Nothobranchius furzeri: one gene and its partners. The protein of the gene in region 1 binds, or shares a complex with, the protein of each later gene. Links are inferred from orthologs where the notes say so. Each region holds a gene or a part of one and is shown on either strand. Other genes may lie near its edges. The genes, in order: poglut1, notch1a and f7l.

The links.
Region 2: the proteins of poglut1 (region 1) and notch1a are in contact, whole or in part, in a crystal structure (PDB 5UB5), measured with the Homo sapiens proteins. The link is inferred for Nothobranchius furzeri from reciprocal best matches to the Homo sapiens genes POGLUT1 and NOTCH1. Residues at the interface, in NP_689518.1 of Homo sapiens: Met103, Phe104, Pro105, Ser106, Arg107, Asp133, Gly170, Pro171, Ala172, Val173, Trp174, Pro178, Thr179, Gly180, Thr214, Asn239, Gln240, Ala241, Val274; in NP_060087.3 of Homo sapiens: Asn454, Glu455, Cys456, Val457, Asn459, Pro460, Cys461, Gln462, Asn463, Asp464, Ala465, Cys467, Gly472, Glu473, Phe474, Val485, His486.
Region 3: the proteins of poglut1 (region 1) and f7l are in contact, whole or in part, in a crystal structure (PDB 5L0S), measured with the Homo sapiens proteins. The link is inferred for Nothobranchius furzeri from reciprocal best matches to the Homo sapiens genes POGLUT1 and F7. Residues at the interface, in NP_689518.1 of Homo sapiens: Met103, Phe104, Pro105, Ser106, Arg107, Arg132, Asp133, Pro171, Ala172, Trp174, Pro178, Thr179, Thr214, Asn239, Gln240, Ala241, Val274; in NP_000122.1 of Homo sapiens: Asp108, Gln109, Cys110, Ala111, Ser112, Ser113, Pro114, Cys115, Gln116, Asn117, Gly118, Gly119, Cys121, Gln126, Ser127, Tyr128, Arg139, Asn140.

What each region holds. Positions count from the first base shown.
Region 1 is NC_091754.1:55,565,089-55,568,841, reverse strand, and holds the start of poglut1 (protein O-glucosyltransferase 1), read left to right. Parts: upstream 1-1,077; 5' UTR 1,078-1,129; coding exon 1,130-1,202; intron 1,203-3,501; coding exon 3,502-3,592; intron 3,593-3,681; coding exon 3,682-3,753. UniProt on the Homo sapiens protein: Dual specificity glycosyltransferase that catalyzes the transfer of glucose and xylose from UDP-glucose and UDP-xylose, respectively, to a serine residue found in the consensus sequence of C-X-S-X-P-C.
Region 2 is NC_091746.1:60,826,882-60,830,534, forward strand, and holds part of notch1a (neurogenic locus notch homolog protein 1), read left to right. Parts: intron 1-27; coding exon 28-141; intron 142-728; coding exon 729-848; intron 849-941; coding exon 942-1,094; intron 1,095-1,177; coding exon 1,178-1,406; intron 1,407-1,500; coding exon 1,501-1,702; intron 1,703-2,157; coding exon 2,158-2,311; intron 2,312-2,423; coding exon 2,424-2,608; intron 2,609-2,698; coding exon 2,699-2,831; intron 2,832-2,933; coding exon 2,934-3,191; intron 3,192-3,278; coding exon 3,279-3,391; intron 3,392-3,490; coding exon 3,491-3,653. UniProt on the Homo sapiens protein: Functions as a receptor for membrane-bound ligands Jagged-1 (JAG1), Jagged-2 (JAG2) and Delta-1 (DLL1) to regulate cell-fate determination.
Region 3 is NC_091743.1:82,200,230-82,203,982, forward strand, and holds the start of f7l (coagulation factor VII), read left to right. Parts: upstream 1-1,082; 5' UTR 1,083-1,296; coding exon 1,297-1,384; intron 1,385-3,753. Other genes in the region: uncharacterized protein, read left to right, coding at 652-797. UniProt on the Homo sapiens protein: Initiates the extrinsic pathway of blood coagulation. Serine protease that circulates in the blood in a zymogen form. Factor VII is converted to factor VIIa by factor Xa, factor XIIa, factor IXa, or thrombin by minor proteolysis.

The DNA of each region.
Region 1 (3,753 bases):
TCATCCAAATATCAGGAGGGTTTTACTCCTCCTCCCTCAAACTCAAAGGAGGACATTTAGAAGAATATTCATTCAGCAGACGTTCCAAATCGAGAAATTAAAAAATGTCACTGTTTATAAAGATGATGTTGCTATGGGGAGATGTAGTTACAAATATTACCTTTTGAAAAAAATGCATGCCTGTGATTTCCATGCATTTCCTATATATATATATATATATATATATATATATATATATATATATATATAGGAAATGCATGGAAATCACAGGCAAATGCATGGAAATCACAGGCATATATATATATATATATATATATATGGCTGTGCAGTGGTTAGAGCTGTTGCCTTGCAGCAAATAGGTCCTGGGTTTGCTTTTGCATGGTCTCCCTGTGCATACGTGGGTTCTCTCCGGGTCCTCCGGCTTCCTCCCACAGTCCAAAAACATGACTGTTAGGTTGATTGGTCTGTCTAAATTGTCTTTAGGTGTGAGTGTGTGTGTGCGTGATTGTTTATCCTGAGTGTCTCTGTGCTGCCCTGCGATGGACTGGCTCTCTGTCCAGGGTGTACCCCGCCTGATTGCCCATCAGTCCCCCCCCCCCCCCCCCCCACACACACACATAATAGTGATGTTATTAATGGTGGTGATAGTGATTAACATTTTCTTCCAACGTCCACATACTTTTCTTTCTTTTATAATTTAGCTATTCTGATGTAGCTTTAGTTTATCACACATTATTGTCAAATAAGGTAAATTTGTCTATTTGTAAATATTTTTCACATATACATTGTACTTTATACAGTTTGCATTCGTTTTCTTTTTATATACCGCTGCTGTTACACCTACGTTGTTGCACTGAAGGACATTACATAAATTTTCTGTTCAAATTTTCTTGCTTCAGTAAGATAAAATGACTGAAGTAATGCTTAGTGACTCAAGAATAAATTGATATTTTAGTACACGTTTTCTTTTTTAAGCCAAAAACAGAGAATAAAACTTGCCCTCTTGTAAGCGCCCCGTGATAAAATGGTCCTTTTGGTGCGCATTACCGTAATAACCAAATTCAGACAGAATTAACAGATAACCGATCGCTGCTTTGTTCTCAGACAAAGTTAAAGGATAAAGGCAAACATGGAGCGTAGCTGTTTGTGGAGTTCTTTATTATTTCTGCAAGTTTGTTGTTTCACTTCGGTCGGTGTATCAGGTACTAATTTAGCTTTAAAGATCTTGGTTTTAAAATACCTTAAATGCAAGCATTACATTTTGTTTGGACTCTTCGAGGTAACTCGATAGAAATGAATCAGTTAGCAGCTAGCTGCTGTAAGCTAACCCCTTTAAAGTGACCACGTTTGGTAAAGTTAGCGGCTAAATTACATTAATGTGGTGTTTTCCCCTAAAGACTGAGAGAGAATTACAAATGCGTCTGATAACTAATAAAAACCAATGCCGTGCCAGTGTCTGACCGCTTCAGATATGTACTTACTGTATTGAAACGAGCATTTGTGGGCTAAAGTTTACTCAGTTTGATTCATTTGTTTTCCACAACTCATAAAACGAACAACTAGACATCTGCTGAGATAAATCTAGTTTATACAGATAGTTTGAGGAAGCTGAAATATAGATTGTACTAGTTTCAGATTTTGTCACCCATTATAAATTGAGATACTCATGTTTTTATTTTATATTTGGGCATAAAACTTAATTTTGGGAACTTTACTTATTTTACTTATTTTTACAATTAAATCTATGAAAAACCAAATGCTGGCAGGGATAAAGATTTTTGATCAAAGTGGTTATCGTCAAGCTAAACTCTTTGGATGTTTTTAGGTGTTGCAACAAAATGTGTGAGACCATCTTCAGTTAGCTAAAGGCCACCAGACCATCTCCAGTTAGCTAAGACCATCTCCAGTTAGCTAAAGGCTAGAAGACCATCTCCAGTTAGCTAAAGGCTAAAAGACCATCTCTAGTTAGCTAAAGGCTAGAAGACCATCTCCAGTTAGCTAAAGGCTAGAAGACCATCTCCAGTTAGCTAAAGGCTAGAAGACCATCTCCAATTAGCTAAAGGCTAAAAGACCATCTCCAGTTAGCTAAAGGCTAAAAGACCATCTCCAGTTAGCTAAAGGCTAGAAGACCATCTCCAGTTAGCTAAAGGCTAAAAGACCATCTCCAGTTAGCTAAAGGCCAGAAGACCATCTTCAGTTAGCTAAAGGCAACCAGACCATCTCCAGTTAGCTAAGACCATCTCCAGTTAGCTAAAGGCTAGAAGACCATCTCCAGTTAGCTAAAGGCTAGAAGACCATCTCCAGTTAGCTAAAGGCTAAAAGACCATCTCCAGTTAGCTAAAGGCTAGAAGACCATCTCCAGTTAGCTAAAGGCTAGAAGATCATCTCCAGTTAGCTAAAGGCTAGAAGACCATCTCCAGTTAGCTAAAGGCTAGAAGACCATCTCCAGTTAGCTAAAGGCTAGAAGACCATCTCTAGTTAGCTAAAGGCTTGAAGACCATCTCCAGTTAGCTAAAGGCTAGAAGACCATCTCCAGTTAGCTAAAGGCTAGAAGACCATCTCCAGTTAGCTAAAGGCTAAAAGACCATCTCCAGTTAGCTAAAGGCTAAAAGGCCATCTCCAGTTAGCTAAACGCTAAAAGACCATCTCTAGTTAGCTAAAGGCTTGAAGACCATCTCCAGTTAGCTAAAGACTAGAAGACCATCTCCAGTTAGCTAAAGGCTAGAAGACCATCTTCAGTTAGCTAAAGGCTAGAAGACCATCTCCAGTTAGCTAAAGGCTAGAAGACCATCTCTAGTTAGCTAAAGGCTAAAAGACCATCTTCAGTTAGCTAAAGGCTAAAAGACCATCTCCAGTTAGCTAAATGCTAAAAGACCATCTTCAGTTAGCTATAGGCTAAAAGACCATCTTCAGTTAGCTATAGGCTAAAAGACCATCTTCAGTTAGCTAAAGGCTAAAAGACCATCTTCAGTTAGCTAAAGGCTAGAAGACCATCTCCAGTTAGCTAAAGGCTAAAAGACCATCTCTAGTTAGCTAAAGGCTAGAAGACCATCTCCAGTTAGCTAAAGGCTAGAAGACCATCTCCAGTTTGCTAAAGGCTAGAAGACCATCTCCAGTTAGCTAAAGGCTAGAAGATCATCTCCAGTTAGCTAAAAGCTAGAAGACCATCTCCAGTTAGCTAAAGGCTAGAAGACCATCTCCAGTTAGCTAAAGGCTAGAAGACCATCTCTAGTTAGCTAAAGGCTAGAAGACCATCTCTAGTTAGCTAAAGGCTAAAAGACCATCTTCAGTTAGCTAAAGGCTAAAAGACCATCTCCAGTTAGCTAAAGGCTAAAAGACCATCTCTAGTTAGCTAAAGGCTAAAAGACCATCTGCCGTTAAAACCAAGCATACGTTTTTCATCGCGATTTCTCCCACGTTTTATTTCATGTGTTTGTTTTAGAGACGACTACAGAGTTGTGCTGCATGCTCTTTAGGGTTCATTATCTTGTGTTTTTGCAGAAAATCAGTGGAAGAAAATTAGACGAACAATTTCAGAAGCTGTGAAAGAGTTCACTCCATGTAGTCCCGTCAACTGTAGCTGTCATAGTAGGTGAGTGATCAGTCTTCCTCGTCATTTTACCGTCAGAAAATTCACATTTATGCTTTTTACTTATGTTTTGTTTGAATTTTCCACCTCAGTGTCTTAGAACGTGACCTGGAGCCTTTTAAAGGAGGAGTCTCTGAAGATCTGATGGCAGCTACGATTCAGAG
Region 2 (3,653 bases), on another chromosome or scaffold:
GTTTTTGTTCTAATCCCATCACTGCAGGGCCTAACTGCCAAACTAACATCAATGAGTGTGCATCCAATCCTTGCCTCAATCAGGGAACCTGCATTGATGATGTGGCTGGATACAAATGCAACTGTCAGCTGCCTTACACTGGTATGACATAGAGAGGCTATCTCTCTTGGAAAGTGTCAGACTTCCTATATTCTTGAAGGCTGTTTGTTGCCGTCTCAGCTGTTTGTGCAGGTCTGAAAACGTAAAGATAGTACTCCAACATCCGACCAACGGGTTTATCCTATCACACAATGTGTTGTCTGAGAAAACACCAGATGATTGCTAACTGCAGGGATGCCTTGTTGACATCTCAGTGTGGAAAGATGTGCTTGTCTGTTTTCCAGGGATAACATAGTATGTGTGGTTTGCAATAACATGCCACAGCAGTTGATATGAGAAGCACACTCAAGTCCAAGCTTTAGCCCCACTTCCGTTGTGTGCTGTTTCCTGTCTAAAATCACACAATGGCAGGAAACAGGAAGGCCCTTCCTGTTTGGCTAAGTCATCATGGAAATGGATAAGGAAGTGGAATGGAAAAGGGAATTTGAAAAGTGATGCTACTTTCAAAAATGAACTGTTTACCTGAACATGTACTATGAGTAACCATTATTGTTTTTTTTTTTAAACAAGCAACTGCTGTAGAAATGAGCAACAACCAGTGCTAAATCCGATGTTTGATGTGTTACCAGGTGAAAACTGTGAGACCCTGCTGGCCCCCTGCAGCCCTCGACCATGTAAAAATGGTGGCATATGTAAAGAGGCAGAAGACTACCAGAGCTTCTCCTGCATCTGCCCTGAAGGTTGGCAAGGTATGCATCTACTCACGTTTGTGTAAGTCAGTTGATCGTTCAAACAACTGGATTTTACAATGTTTCTTCAATCACTGTTTTCCCAAACTACAGGTCAAACTTGTGAAATCGATATCAATGAATGCGTGAAACATCCGTGCCGTAACAGTGCTCTGTGCCTTAACACTATGGGCGGCTACCAGTGCAAGTGCAAGCCGGGTTACAGTGGCAAAAAGTGTGAGACAGACATAGATGACTGCAAACCGAGTAAGTCAGTTATCTGCAGAACTGCAAGTTCCAGTCTTGTGAAACACTACAACAAACTGCAACCTTACTTTTCTCTATTTTAGATCCATGCAGTAATGGGGGACTGTGTCATGATGGCATCAACAGTTTCATGTGTACTTGTCTGCCTGGGTTTCACGGCAGCCGGTGTGAGCAGGACATAAATGAATGTGAGAGCAACCCTTGTAAGAATGGGGCCAACTGCACTGACTGTGTCAACAGCTACACCTGCACCTGCCCACCAGGCTTTAGTGGTATCAACTGTGAGATCAACACCAACGACTGTACTGACAGGTAGTTTTACTTAACATACACACTTATAAGATGAGGTATGCAAAACTGAGTGCTAGAATCTTTAGAATAGATTTAATTTCATTTTATTTTACAGCTCTTGTTTCAATGGTGGCACCTGCATGGATGGAATCAACACATTCACCTGCCTGTGTCTAACCGGATTCACCGGCAGCTACTGTCAGTATGACATCAACGAGTGTGACTCCAAGCCGTGTCTCAATGGCGGAACCTGTCTTGACAGTTATGGGACATACAAGTGCACCTGTCCTCATGGCTACACTGGAGTCAACTGTCAGGTAGGAGCTTTATTTAATCACAGACTCTGACACATTCATATTCTTGCTTAAAGAGCAATGCCCCCCCAAATCAAAAATTTTTTGCTGATAAATTATATAAACAAGCGTCTAATCATGCAGTAGACACGTGTAGTCAATAATTTGTCACTTTAGTGCATCTTAGTTAAAATGTCAATATTCTGCCAGTATTGCACCCTCTTCAGGTAAGAACTCTGCACTGCATTGAATTTAAATCTGCCATTGCTATTTGCTAAGAGGTATACAATGACGTTAGCTGGTACACTATTATGTCACAAAGTTGTTCTGAGCCTGTGTGCGTGTGTATTTGTTAGCGGCTCCACCCTCCACTCTTTGCATTTTTCAAACAGGAAGTAGGAGTGGAGTAAGACTCTGGTAAGGGGTGGTTTGCTTTTTAATTTCGCAGTTATGATTGATCCGTTTGGTTCCTTTTTTAGAATCTTGTGCGCTGGTGCGACTCTTCACCTTGTAAAAATGGAGGCTCCTGCTGGCAGCAGGGAGCATCCTACACCTGCCAGTGTCAGACTGGGTGGACTGGCCTGTACTGTGACATCCCAAGTGTGTCTTGTGAGGTTGCAGCCAAACAACAAGGTAGAACAATTCACTTCATGCGTTTTAGCTTGTACGTTTGACTTGATTGGATCTAAGTCTGGTGTGTGTGTGACTGATGCATTCTGCAAACCATTTTCCGTTTTGATTACAGGTGTGGAAGTGTCTCAGTTGTGCAGGAATTCTGGCCAATGTCTGGATGCTGGGAACACACATTACTGTCGCTGCCAGGCTGGTTACACGGGGAGTTACTGCCAGGAGCAGGTGGATGAGTGCTCACCAAATCCATGCCAGAATGGAGCAACCTGCACCGATTATCTGGGAGGTTACAGCTGTGAGGTAAATTAAATATGACTGATCAAAATCACCTCATAACTTAAGGGGGAACATTTTAAATAATTAATTATTCTTAACTTTCTCTTTTGTCAGTGTGTTCCTGGTTATCATGGGAGAAACTGTTCCAAAGACATTAATGAATGTCAGTCTCAACCCTGCCAGAATGGAGGCACCTGCATAGATCTCATCAACACATACAAATGTTCCTGTCCCAGAGGGACACAAGGTATATACTGTATATGCATGCCCAATATAATCAAATAACAACCTACATGTGACCATAATTGATGAAAAACATGTTCTGATCCAATGTGTCTGCTTTCTGTAGGTGTTCACTGTGAAATTAACTTGGATGACTGCAACCCCCCTATCGACCCCTTTACCAAAGAGCCCAAGTGCTTCAATAATGGCAAATGTGTGGACCGCATTGGAGGCTACCAGTGTGTGTGCCCACCAGGTTATGTTGGTGAACGCTGCGAGGGCGATGTCAATGAATGCTTGTCAGACCCTTGTGACCCTAGAGGGTCCTACAACTGCATCCAGCTCACCAACAGCTATCGGTGCGAATGCAGAACTGGATATACAGGTACTGCTTTGTTTCTAGCAACACATTACTCAAGGAATAAAATAGATGTATGAAAAAGAACCTGGCACAATTTTTTCTGTTTTACAGGTCAGCGTTGTGACAAAGTGTTTGATGGCTGCAAGGGAAGACCCTGCAGGAATGGAGGGACTTGCGCTGTTGCCAGTAATACGCCTCATGGTTTTATCTGCAGATGTCCACCTGTAAGTTCTCTTAAAACATCTTCTTATACAAATGCCCCTTTCAATTCTGATGTTTTATTTTATAATAACAGCAAACTAATTCTGTTTGTGTTCCTTCAGGGCTTCACTGGCTCTTCTTGCGAGTATGATTCTCGGTCCTGTGGGAGTCTGAATTGCAAGAATGGTGGAACATGCGTATCAGGCCACCTTGGTCCACGCTGTCTGTGCCCTTCAACATTCACAGGGCCAGAGTGTCTAACCCCCACCGACAGCCTCTGCATCT
Region 3 (3,753 bases), on another chromosome or scaffold:
ATCCAGGGATAGACTTTGTTTAAATTTGAGCACATTTTCCGTCTGATGGGAGGCGAGTTAAGCTCAGAGTCTGCATGGCGCAGTGGTTAGCCCTGTTGCCTCGCAGCACGAAGGTTGCAGGTCCGAAACTCAGCTGCGGCCTTTCTGCGTGGAGTTGCGTGCAACAAAATAAAGACAAATAAATACCTCGTTGGCTGTTTTGCTTAAAACACAAAGGGAATCCATCTGTCTTCCTTTAAGTCCTTTCATTATTTATTCCTTCGGCAATGCATTGAATCTGTCCATTCTCAGCTAGCTGCTTGTAAGCACTTCATCCAGGTTCTGTGTGTTCCTCACACCTGGCTTGTATTCATCAATTAAGGGTGTGGCTGTCAGCAGCTCATGTAGCTTTTCAAAATAAAATTACAGGAAGCACAACCAACCCAGTGTCTTACAAATGGGAAAAATAAATAAATGAAGATATAAACAGCAACAGCAGTTACACCATGCATGTGTGGGTTTCCTCCGAGTACTCCGGTTTCCCCCACAGATCACAACATGCCCTATAGGTTATAGATTGTAAGTCGCTTTGGATAAAAGCGTCTGCCAAATAAATAAACATAAACATAGAGTCTCTTCTTCCAGGTTCAGACTTTTTGTGTTTGTGTTCAGGTGAGAACTGCAACCGCGGGGCAGCGCTCGGGGCCCTTCTGGGGGCTGGGGCCGCCCATGCCGGATTGGGCGTACCTCCAGAGTGGAAGGACAAACTCAGAGATGCCCAGGAGTTCCTCCCCAACATCTTGAAGGAGGTGCACTGAGAGCCGCCCTGCCCTCTGGAGGACAGGAGGAGAACTTTCAGAAGAGCATTAAAATCTACTTCCTCTTTACGGGTGCCTCATCTCTCCTAAAATTAGAACATGATTTTTATTAATGATGAATTTATTTTCTGCACTTCTCACTTTGTAAATGAATAAGAATCAGAAAACCTTTCAATGAAATATTATTCAATGTTTTTCTTATATATTACATTATTCTTATTATTGTCAGGCTGTGCTGTTTTTCGTTAAAGCTTTGAAATAAAATATTCACATGCTCAGACCAAAGTAATAACTCGTCTTTTGTGTGTTTATTATTTATGAGTTTGTGAGTTACTGTAGATGACCAGAACATTTCAACCAGATGTTTATTATCAGAATTGTTGAACACAAATAAACGAGTGTCTTTTAACCTGAAACAGGAAGTCAAACGTGTGGAGAATGCAAGTGTTTTTGTGTGTTTGTTTTTCACTACGTGACCTTTGGTCGGGCCACAACAATCATGGCGTTCATCAGCAAAAAGACGAGTCGTGTCTTCTTCCTACTGCTCATCACTGCTTCTCTCCCATCATGCACTGGGACTCAAGGAGGTCAGTTTGTTCCTTCAACTCTTCTTCTTCACCTCAGGGATCCGTTCCCATCAGGACTCCATCAGAGGAGTGCAGACCACAAGCAGATTACACAATCTGATGGCTTAAACTTTTCCTGTTTTATTAGTTTGTTCTATAATATTTATTTCTCTAACTGATTTTAGTGAGCAGGACTTTATGAAATTGTATTAAATATAATATATTATAAAATCAGGATTGGTGTTAATATGTTTAAAAAATCTGTAAAAGTTAATTTTAATAAGATTTTTAAAAATTACGTTATAGAGAACATTTTTATTTAGATATGAGCTGGTCTGGATATGAGATGGTCTGGATATGAAAGGGTCTGGATATGAGATGTCTGGATATGAGATGGTTTGGATATGAGATGGTCTGGATATGAGATGTCTGGATATGAGATGGTTTGGATATGAGATGTCTGGATATGAGATGGTCTGGATATGAGATGGTTTGGATGTGAGATGTCTGGATATGAGATGTCTGGATATGAGATGGTTTGGATATGAGATGGTCTGGATATGAGATGGTTTGGATATGAGATGTCTGGATATGAGATGGTTTGGATATGAGATGTCTGGATATGAGATGGTTTGGATATGAGATGTCTGGATATGAGATGGTTTGGATATGAGATGTCTGGATATGAGATGGTTTGGATATGAGATGTCTGGATATGAGATGGTTTGGATATGAGATGTCTGGATATGAGATGGTTTGGATATGAGATGTCTGGATATGAGATGGTTTGGATATGAGATGTCTGGATATGAGATGGTCTGGATATGAGATGGTTTGGATATGAGATGTCTGGATATGAGATGGTTTGGATATGAGATGGTTTGGATATGAGATGTCTGGATATGAGATGTCTGGATATTAGATGGTTTGGATATGAGATGGTTTGGATATGAGATGTCTGGATATGAGATGGTCTGGATATGAGATGGTTTGGATATGAGATGTCTGGATATGAGATGTCTGGATATGAGATGGTTTGGATATGAGATGGTTTGGACATGAGATGTCTGGATATGAGATGGTTTGGATATGAGATGGTTTGGATATGAGATGTCTAGATATGAGATGGTTTGGATATGAGATGGTTTGGATATGAGATGGTTTGGATATGAGATGTCTGGATATGAGATGGTTTGGATATGAGATGGTTTGGATATGAGAGGTCTGGATATGAGATGGTTTGGATATGAGATGGTTTGGATATGAGATGTCTGGATATGAGATGTCTGGATATGAGATGGTTTGGATATGAGATGTCTGGATATGAGATGGTTTGGATATGAGATGTCTGGATATGAGATGTCTGGATATGAGATGTCTGGATATGAGATGTCTGGATATGAGATGGTCTGGATATGAGATGTCTGGATATGAGATGTCTGGATATGAGATGGTCTGGATATGAGATGTCTGGATATGAGATGTCTGGATATGAGATGGTCTGGATATGCGATGGTCTGGATATGAGATGTCTGGATATGAGATGTCTGGATATGAGATGGTCTGGATATGAGATGTCTGGATATGAGATGTCTGGATATGAGATGGTTTGGATATGAGATGGTCTGGATATGAGATGGTTTGGATTTGAGATGTCTGGATATGAAATGTCTGGATATGAGATGGTTTGGATTTGAGATGTCTGGATATGAGATGGTTTGGATATGAGATGGTTTGGATATGAGATGTCTGGATATGAGATGGTCTAGATATGAGATGGTTTGGATATGAGATTGTTTGGATATGAGATGTCTGGATATGAGATGGTCTAGATATGAGATGGTTTGGATATGAGATTGTTTGGATATGAGATGGTTTGGATATGAGATGTCTGGATATGAAATATCTGAATATGAGATGTCTGGATATGAAATGTCTGAATATGAGATGTCTGGATATGAGATGGTTTGGATATGAGATGGTCTGGATATGAGATGGTTTGGATTTGAGATGTCTGGATATGAGATGTCTGGATATGAGATGGTTTGGATTTGAGATGTCTGGATATGAGATGGTTTGGATATGAGATGGTTTGGATATGAGATGTCTGGATATGAGATGGTCTAGATATGAGATGGTTTGGATATGAGATTGTTTGGATATGAGATGTCTGGATATGAGATGGTTTGGATATGAGATGGTTTGGATATGAGATTGTTTGGATATGAGATGGTTTGGATATGAGATGTCTGGATATGAAATGTCTGAATATGAGATGTCTGGATATGAAATGTCTGAATATGAGATGTCTGGATATGAAATGTCTGAATATGAGATGTCTGAGATGTCTGAATATGAGATGTCTGGATATGAGATGTCTGAATATGAGA